Arabidopsis thaliana: one gene and its partner. The protein of the gene in region 1 interacts with the protein of each later gene in a pairwise test. Each region holds a gene or a part of one and is shown in the gene's direction. Other genes may lie near its edges.

Region 1 (5,379 bases):
TAATATAGTGTGCATTAATGCTAAAATTCGGTGCAAGAGTGTTAACGTAGTTAACATTATATAAAGGCCTCACTCTAGACGAAAGAGACATGTCTACCTTCTGATCTTTAAGACGAACGGTGTTAAAATTCTGCTTCCTCTTCTGGATAACTTTACTTTTTCTGGTGTGTTTTATCTCAGGGGAACAGCTGTACGTTTTGCTGTTTCCCGGCAATTTGCATTGATCCAGAGTTTTTTGTACCAAAGATTTATCTTGATTAGCTTCTGTAGCAGAAGGCTTCAACGGCAGCTCTCTGTCAGGGGTGCTAACGATGTCTACAGTGTGATCATCTACAAGTAGATCTTCAGTGTCATCCACAATCTGCACTGGTTCTAACTCATTTTCTGTTGGCATCAATGAGGCAACGGGATCGGACTGCACAGAATCAGTTTGTATCTCTCCCTTAGGGAAGAGATCCTTCTTATTTTTATCATCACCTTCTTCGATTAATATTTGGTTGTCAGCAATTTGGAAATCTCCAATTTCAGGTCGCTCGTAATATCCATCCTCCTGAGGAGATGGCAAATCGTTCTTGCTTTCCTCTAACCGATGTGTAGGATTGACATCCACTGAAGCATTGGATGTCTGCGGACCAGGCTGATGATCTTGAACAAAAGCCTCTATTCCTCGGTTAGATGCACTTAAATTGAAAACCGAAGCTTGGGATTCAAGAGCTAAAATAGTCCCAAGCATAGTTCCACAGGCAACAGTTCTGATGTCGTTAGGTCTGCTATCTATTACAGAGTAATTCACCTAGAGAAAATAATCAATAACACAATGAATCAACCACCCACTAAACCATACCGTGAGAACTTCATATATATCTTAAGAGATTACTTACATCGTTTCCATCATTTCGACTTCTTTTGGGCAATGGCATGAGCTCTAGCTCCTCTTGTTCCGCATTCTCTGATACATTACCATAAATAACCCAAAATTGAGAAGAGAATCTCTATGTAAGTGTGACCTACTAAACCGCAATATCAGATAAAATTGCAAAAACTTAGTACCTCTCGAATGCTTTAGCGTGAGAGATCTCGGATCCATAAACTGTTCTAACACAACATTTTCCTGCAAATCCAAACTACAGGCGAAACTAGCCGGAGCGGAGGGAGACTCAGGCGAGAGAGTCACAGTGAAGCCATCTTCGGCAAGGGAAATAGGAGAATTAGGGATCGAGCAAAGATATTTGACGAGATTAGGAGAACCTTGGAAGTATGTACACTTTGAAGAAAGATCTATAACAGATTCTGGATGACCAGAAGAAAGTAGGAGACGAGATAACTCAAAAGCATGCAGATGATAGTTAAGGTCGTCGTTGCCGTCTGAATTGGTGGGACTAAGAGGAATGAGCTCTCTTCCGGCTGTAGAATTCTCGAGTTGACGCGGTTCCGAGTTTTCTGACATTGCAAATGCTGTGAATCTGAGGGAGAGAGAGAGAAGCTAGGGATTTGAGAATTTGAGATTTGGGGGGCAAATGGAGAAGGAGCGGGAGAATGGCACGTGCGGTACGTGTGATGTTTTGTTTCGAGGATTTTGTACATAAAAATGTTCCCGCTCATTTCTTTGCCAGCTGGATTATTTACGGCCTCATGCGTCTACAGGCCCATTTTAAATGAGCCCATATAGCCTGGAAATGTTTCATTGATTGTAGTCTTGTAGATAATTTTTAGAACAATGCAATTATTCAAGATGCTAAAACTTGCTGCATTTCGAACTATATATTTGAATAACCTTCTCAAATACTATTATTGGTTACCTAATGTTTTTGATGCTCTAGAAGTTCAATTTATAACATGCAAAGAGAAAAACTGGAGTTCATGGTTACAGAAAACAACATTAGTCGTCAATTTCAAATGAAAGTAATCCCATAAAATATATATATACATGCATGCATGACTATGTATGGATGGTTATATCATATATGGAACATGTGCATTTGTGATGGTATAATGTAAAGATGGATAAATAGTAAATGATGGCCAAAGAGTGCTCGTGAGAGACAAAGGAAATGGTATGGGGTAACCAAAATGTCGGTTAGTTGGTGCGGACATAATATTGGCCGTGGAGCTAAATCAGGCTGTGTGACTAAATACAACACAAATGGTCCCTTTTGTTTTTCGTTTTTTGTTTTGTAACATAGCATTATGCTCTTTTATCTTGTCCTATGTAAATTTTGTCTTCTCCTGATAATATTATAGAATATCTTGATATGGTTATCATAAATTTTCTGTTAAATTTACAGAAAACAAAATGAACATTAATGTTCTAACATATGAATGGCTAACATCAGTAATGACCTGTTCTAATAAATTTGATATGGCCCCTTAAAAACCATCCCGTGAATCCGATTGATCGTTTCCACTATGTCTTTAAAAGAATAAATATAAAAGGCATTGTAATCATAATATCCTCCATTTCCATATATATTGACTATTCTATCTGTACCTACAATGAGATTTCAACTTTGGAGTTTTCATCTTTTTTTTCTTTCCAATTTGTGGAGGAAAATAAATCAGCATCTCATACCTATCCATCGACTGATACGTGTCACACATTGTATCCAACGATCCAAAATTATAAAACAAATAATCTCTAATATATATCCAAATAGCACAAAGAACCTTCACTTTTCTCTCCCACTCTTTCTTTTACTACTCTCACACATATCTCTGTCTATATATCACTTTACATAAACGACTATTCCACACACAAACACACATAGCCATGGCCTCTTCTTTCTCTTCACAAGCCTTCTTCTTGCTCACATTGTCTATGGTTTTAATTCCTTTCTCTTTAGCTCAAGCTCCCATGATGGCTCCTTCTGGCTCAATGTCCATGCCGCCTATGTCTAGCGGCGGTGGAAGCTCGGTTCCTCCTCCAGTGATGTCTCCGATGCCAATGATGACTCCACCACCTATGCCTATGACTCCACCACCCATGCCCATGACTCCACCACCTATGCCTATGGCTCCACCACCAATGCCCATGGCTTCACCACCAATGATGCCAATGACTCCATCTACAAGCCCAAGCCCATTAACAGTTCCGGATATGCCTTCGCCGCCGATGCCATCCGGAATGGAATCTTCACCTTCTCCAGGACCCATGCCACCGGCAATGGCGGCTTCGCCGGATTCAGGAGCTTTCAATGTTAGAAACAACGTCGTAACACTTTCATGCGTTGTTGGAGTTGTTGCAGCCCATTTTCTCCTCGTTTGAAATGATTATTGAATTGGTCAGCCTCGATCGTTTTCTTGTAATTTACCTTCATTTTTTTCCCTCAAATTATTAGTGGTCATCATTTTATAATATTTGAGTTTGTGTTTGATGTACGATTCAGACATTTGTTTGCATTATGTGCTTAATAAGTTTATCGTTGACTCTACTTGAAGAGAGACTTTGTATGTGATGTAAATTTCTTCTATCTATGGAACATTGCATTCGTAGTCATATATAGGACATAAATATGGTTACAACTTGGAAGGATAAATACCACAAGGCACAATATGATCAATACGACAATACCTCTCATTGTTAGTCGATAATATCGATGTATATAGTCACTAGACTCACCGATCCGTAATTCCTTTTAACAAAAAATACGTTATTCAGATATGTTATTTTCATATATATGTGTAAAAATGTTCTTCCTAATAATTAAAAGAGACAAACCAAAGAAAAGGCTATATTTGCAAGCTGTCATTGGAATTTTGCATACATTTTCTCTATATATTCTCATTGAAATTCATTTATTCTTTCATTTTATGGAGGTGTAGAAATACATAAAATCCAAAGAAAATGAGAAATTTTCAAATATGTTGAATTTGAGAATGGAAGAATATGACAAAGGTGGGTATAGTGAATAAATGGTAGGGAATATAGATATGCCCGACCCAAGAGGACAGCTAAAAAGAAAGTGACGTTCACATGTCTGTCTTTCTCTATTGCCCCAACCATTTTCCAATGTGTATTAGTAATAACAGAAATCATACATTTAAAAAGAACTATATAGAAATTTTATTCATATATATATAGCAGTACTAGTTAGTATATCTGCATTTTTTTGTTTTTCAAGTCATGTTGATGATTTATTACTTTAAACAGATGCCGAAGCTTTCTAAAGTAATTACGGTAAATATATGTTAGTCATTTGTAAAAACGACCGATGACAGAAAGATATGTTTTATTTCTTAGTATATCTAACAATGTTATAACCGAATGATGACAACCTATAAACCACAATAGAGCACTAATTTAATTACATGCTCTTTGTTGCTGGCTCCGTACACCGGCCACCACAATCAAAACCTTAATTGTCCACTTTTTAGCCACTTCGAATTCTCAGAAAGATAAATCTAAGGAAGTTCTAGGTCTTTCAAAGGCCACAAATCTCGATATGTTGGTGGTTTGTGAATATGCAAATCTTTGGTGATACGCTAACTTCTTCAATTCATAATTTCAATAAACGAACTGAGAATTTACTGATGGGTAGTTGTTCAAAGCTGGAGTTTCTTCCACCTGCTGACGTTTACTTGGAATCTCTCAAGGACCCAAATCTAAGGAAATGCTTACGGTTGAAAAGTGTCCGTCCGATTTCGAAAACCATTCCAGGTATTTTTTTTTAAGTCTTACAACATATTCTTTCCGGTGAGGAGGAGACCATGTTGTTTTTCTTCCCAAGAAAATTTAACCTCTATTGCTATGATCCTAAGTGTATAAAAGGCTTGCAATCAATGGAGGTTTTAATTATAGTCCATGGGTGAATAATGTCATCAATAGTGATAACTGGACAAGATTTTTAAAAAATGCCACAAACACAAAAGAAAAAAAAAATTGAAAGTAAATGTCATAAAATCATAATTATGCGTAGTGTGCAAGGTATACTTTGGTAAAATCTGTCACATTAGACATTTACTTATTTACAATTTTGCAAATTGGTTATTTACTTAAATAAATGAAACTTATACGCAAAATAAAATAAAATCCTGACTAAGCTCATATCTTTTAATTTGTTTTCTAACAGAAATATATCCCTCTGTTAGTACACCACATTGACGATGTCATTCATTATTAGGAATGGAAATTTTTCATTCTTTCCTATAAAACTAGATGTTAATTAAAAAAAAAAAACAATTATACGGATTTCTTAAGAGATTTGAATTTCTTTACGTAGATTTTCTGTAAGTAGTATAATTCAAAAGAAGCAAGTTAAAGCTAATCTCCTTGACATGGATTGAATTTTTTTTTGAACCAATTACCCGACAAGGATTTTTTTAGTGGTATTTATAGATTTTGCCATTTTTTATATCTAAAAAATACAATTTAACACATTACGT
Region 2 (5,197 bases), on another chromosome or scaffold:
TCTGTTGTGTCCAAACAACAACAAGGATCAGAAGAAGAAAGAGGACTTATTAACCAAAAGATTAGAGAGAAAAATGAAGCTGTAACTATGTCTGAGCTCACTGTTTGTCTTCTCATGGACCGTTTTGTTCCTTGGTGATCTTTCCATACCCAACTACTTCTAGATCTCTTCTTTGGTGATGTGTATATATATATCTAGAAACTACATGTAGTATGTCTATATATCAGATTTTGTTTGTGCAGACCATGTTTTTAAGTTTCCTTGTAAACCTGTGAAAGTAATGTGTTTGAGAAACATATTTTTATTACTTTAATCAATAGTGTTCAATTATTATTAACCGGGATTTATATGAAGATGGAACTTTCTATTCACTCTGTAATTAGGAACATTCGCATCATTCAGTAAGAAATAAAACAAGAAATGATTATAATTTTTCTAATAACGTAGGAATTCTGAGGGAACCCAAAACTAAAATTTGATTGAAAGATTTTGAAGTGGCCAATCATGAATGAGATTGCTGGAAGATATCATCAATATTCAATACAGATAACGATTTTTTTTTTTTTTTATTGATACCAAATGAGCTTTCGGCTTTTGGCCCAGACGGAAACAACGGTTACAAAAGGTTTGGGCTTTGGGCTTTGGGCTTTTGATCCACATGACGATCATATAGTTCTTTCCTTCAACACAAAACACTTGAAGTGTATCTTATCAACTAAACTCTATTCCAGCAAAATTATTTCAAAATTAGATATATGGGAGAATTTTTACAGGCCATTCTAGATTTTCATTAACGCTGTGATTTATCCGTTAATAAGTACGATTAAGAGTAAAACGACGTCGTTTGCAATTGAAACAAAAATCCCCAATTCAGAAATAAGAAACCCTAGATCCTCAAATCTCTTCTTCTTTTCTTCTTCGAATTCACTCCTGTATTTTGAAATCAAAGTGAATTGCAAGGCACAAAGTTCATGCTTTAAAGCACTGCAAATGGCGAAGTCATGATTTATATGGCATTTTTCCTGTTTTTGTTTCAATTGCAAACGACGTCGTTTTGCTCTTAAACGGTCTCATTAACGGATAAATCACATCTTCTAATTGCTCTGTTTATTCAGTTGATGTTGTGACTAATTTGGCTCTGTCAACGAAAGTTAGTGATTTTATCTGAAGTCAACACGTAATTGATGATTTTAATCACAAAGTACAAAGTTTATGTTTAAAGCACCACAAATTGCGAAGTCGTGATTTAAATGACATTTTTCCCGTTCTGGTTAAACTAAGTTTCTATTATTTAATATGGATATTGTGGAGCGTAGTGTCAGCACTCAGCAGCTTATTTAACGTGATACTCTTTAACCGAGTAACAACTAGTGAGGTCATATTCAGGACCGATCCAACAATATTGAGGGTTTTACTCCAAGTAAAATTTTAGTTTTATTTTTAATTATCATAAACGACATAAATATAATATGGAAAGATCACAAATACTGATTAAAAACTAAAATCATCAAAACGAAAAAGAAAAAAGAAAAAATTGGGTTCAACTCTCATGAGTTATTAAACATTTTAGGTTTTAGGCTTAAATCTTTAAAAAAAATCAGAACTGAAAAACGAAAAATTCTAATTTTATTTTGGACTCTGATTCATAGCTTATGTCGCTTATGTAGTTATGCTAGGGATGAATCTGTATTTCGTTACCGTAATGAGAGTTCGATACTCTCTTACTTGTTACGATTCTGGAGCATGTTACATTTTTTTCTTTCCGTCAACAACAACTTTAATATGGTAAAACAAAATTTATTTTTATTTGGCTGGTCCTACTCAAGACAAATCTTCTGCCGACATCACATAATCATATTAAAAACCATAACTTCTGCCACTCTGTTTTTTTTTTTTTTTGTAACCATTAACTGATTGGATTTTGATCCATCTCATCTGATTTTTTAGCTCAACAATTTACTTGCACATTTTCTATTTGGTTTTATTTATACTTAGTTACATATATGATTATCGAACTAGTATCTCTTTATAATTAAGTATTTTTCTATTTTTTTTTAATTTAGATTTTTGTGAATTCATTTACAGTAGAAAACTGTAAAACCATATGGTCTAATTATAGAATGAAAACTTCAACGAATCCATACAACTTATTGGCTAAATATAATAAATCTGCTTGAAGCATATTGTTATTATTTAGTTGGATTTGACGATCTCTGACTTTAATGTATACCGACATACCCTATGATTTAGATGTTGATTTTTCCCATTCTTAATATATCCATGTTAAGAGATTCCACCATAACATATCTAATTATTTGCATTGTAATAAATATTATCATTAAAAAAAAATACAACTGGACAGCTGGCTCGTCCCATTGTTTCTTACGTCCACCAATTACATTTGTTAAAGCAAACTTATTAGAACGTTCATGTGTGAGAAGTTGGTGTCGACATGTGTCTAAGGTCTATGTCAGAAATCGGATTAGCTTATTAAGTAAACTATACTATATCATTGTTAATATAGATAAAATATCTAGTTCGTCCAAATTAAACTATTTTCATAACTGCCACGTGGCGTAAACGTATCCATCGAGTCACTTGTAATATCTTTATAACCAAAGTCTTCCAACACATTCATCACCATCTATCTACTCTTTACTCTCTTCTCTTCTCACATCAATTATTCATAGTTCTCTCTTCTCCGGCAAGAAAAGATGCCTATGAAGTCGTTGAGGAATGACCATGGAACCCTTAAGGCCATGATCGGATCCGATTTCAACGAGCTCACTATCGCTGCTAAGAACCTAGCTACACACGCCTTCACACTCACTGGTTTAGGCTTTGGTACCTCTGTCCTCGAATGGGTTGCTTCAATCGCCGCCATGTAACCATTCTCTCTGTTTCTATGTCTCTTTCCTCTATCCGTTTCTTGTGTTGATCTTGATGAGGTTTTGATGTAATAAATGCAGATACTTGTTGGTGTTGGATCGAACCAATTGGAAGACGAATATGCTCACATCACTTCTCATTCCTTACATCTTCTTCAGTCTTCCTTCCTTGATCTTTGGTATTTTCAGGTATAACACAACAAAAGCCAGAGACTTTTTCTTTACTTATCATTATGTTCCTAAACCCTAACTTGTGTCTGAAACTTTGACAGAGGAGAAATTGGTAAATGGATTGCTTTCGTAGCTGTTGTTGTACAACTCTTCTTTCCTAAACACGCCAGAGGTTTGTCTACTTTTTTTCATTCACTCTCCATTACAAGCAACAAGACTTTGATTCTGATTTGGCTTATCTCTGTTGTTTGTGTTATTAGAATACCTGGAATTACCGGTGGCTTTGGTTCTTCTCGCCGTGGTGGCACCAAATTTGATTGCTGGCACATTCAGAGACAGTTGGATTGGTTTAGCTATATGTTTAGGTATTGGATGTTACTTGCTTCAAGAACACATTAGAGCTTCAGGTGGATTCAGAAATGCATTTACTAAAGCCAATGGTATCTCCAACACCGTCGGGATCATCTGTCTCGTCGTCTTCCCCGTCTGGGCTCTTATCTTTTAAGTTAACTCTTCAGTTTCTTTTTCCATTTGTCTTTTTTTTTTCATGTAAGAGTGATTGCTTTGTACGATCTGTCTCTCCTCGTAACTCTATCAATGAATGTGATTTGAATAAGAATTGCTTCAGCAATAAGATATCATCATGAGGTGTTAGTGTGGAATAAATCTCCTCTTTCATCATTATAGCTTTAATGGGTAACGTTGTATCATCTTACAATGTGTACCACTTCTTACCGCTTTCTCGTACCACCACAAAACTTGTCCACATTGTGTCACCAATTGGTTTCTATGTGGTTTTGTCATCTTTGCTTCACCAGCTTACCAACGAAGCTCAACTTTTCTAGCTTTCTTCTTCTGCTCTTAGCTTGAGTGATTCAGCCATTTCTATGGCCAACAATGCTGATGTTTCCTCATCACCTACTATTCCATACCCGTCGATAAAAGCTCTATACGTCTCTTGACTCGGCTTAAATCCTTTCCCAACCATCTCAGCCTGAATGTTCAATGCTCTATCCATCTTCCCATCTTCACACAACCTCTTTACCAACAACTCATAACAATTCCGACTAGGATAAAACATTGCTTCTCTCACCGCATCCTTCACGATATCCGCAGCTTCAACAACTCTCTGTCCATCCCTATCATCACATAGCCCTTCAACTAACGCTTCAATTGTTAAACCATCTGCCTCAAAACCTTTCCTTTTCATCTCCCTATAAACAACCAAACCCGAATCAACATCCCCCGCTTTACAATACCCGTTAACAAGATGCTCATACGTCAAACAAGTACACTCAATCCCCTTCAACCCCATATCTCGAAAAAGCTCCTTCGCTTTCACAACTTCAAAGTTACTACAAAGCCCACCAATCATAGTGTTATAAGCCACAATATCATAAACCACTCCTCTCACCTTCATCTCTTCCCATACCTTCTCCGCTTCACTCATCAAACCTCGCGCACAATACGCCTCCATCAAAACATTATAGCTATAAACATTCGGAGAACATCCAACTTCCTCCTCCATTTCTCTCCATATCCTCTCCACCATCTCAGTCTCACCTTCTCTATAAAAACTCACCATCATCGAATTAAAAGTGGTCGCATTTGGCTTAATCTTACCTATCATCTTTTTAGCTTCATCAACACTAACATCATCTAAACCAAAAACTTCTCTATACATCTTATATCCATTAGAAGCACCTCTACGCCTAGAAACCTCTGTGATCAAAGCATTACAAGTACTAATCTGTGCATTGATTCCTCTAGACCTTAACTTTCTCATAACCATCACAGCTCCATCAATCTCTTTCGAATCAAGACAAGATTTTATCAACAAATCGAATACAAACGGAGCAGAGCCACATCGATTATAACTCTTAATCAACGAACGGAACACTTTCAAGACTCTGTCTTCGTCTTCGTCGGTGGCGGCGAGACGGAGAGCGAGACGTATGATTTCACTAGCGTGGCTTTTGAGACGAGATCGAGAGAGGATGTGGATGAGAGTTGAGCAGGAGTGTGTGTCGTGAGAGCAGAGAGAGTAACGGCGAGTGAAGAGGAAGAAACGGAGAGAGAGGTGAGGATTGTTGCGGAGGCAGAGAGTGATTTCGGAGAATTGAGAAGGTGTGAAGCCT

What was found. Proteins that work in one complex are often made in the same cells at the same time.
Region 2: the proteins of AT4G16980 (region 1) and COR413-PM1 interact in a protein complementation assay, tested with the Arabidopsis thaliana proteins (one large-scale study listed by BioGRID).

Annotation. Positions count from the first base shown.
Region 1 is NC_003075.7:9,554,320-9,559,698, forward strand, and holds AT4G16980 (arabinogalactan-protein family), read left to right. Parts: upstream 1-2,463; 5' UTR 2,464-2,767; coding exon 2,768-3,262; 3' UTR 3,263-3,620; downstream 3,621-5,379. Other genes in the region: AT4G16970 (Protein kinase superfamily protein), read right to left, coding at 98-793, 882-949, 1,051-1,447; AT4G16983 (uncharacterized protein), read right to left, coding at 2,842-2,957, 3,000-3,150.
Region 2 is NC_003071.7:6,947,449-6,952,645, forward strand, and holds COR413-PM1 (cold regulated 413 plasma membrane 1), read left to right. Parts: upstream 1-2,402; 5' UTR 2,403-2,714; coding exon 2,715-2,884; intron 2,885-2,969; coding exon 2,970-3,077; intron 3,078-3,160; coding exon 3,161-3,231; intron 3,232-3,319; coding exon 3,320-3,564; 3' UTR 3,565-3,577; coding exon of another isoform or gene 3,578-3,612; 3' UTR 3,613-3,744; downstream 3,745-5,197. Other genes in the region: AT2G15960 (stress-induced protein), read left to right, coding at 1-138; AT2G15980 (Tetratricopeptide repeat (TPR)-like superfamily protein), read right to left, coding at 3,901-5,197.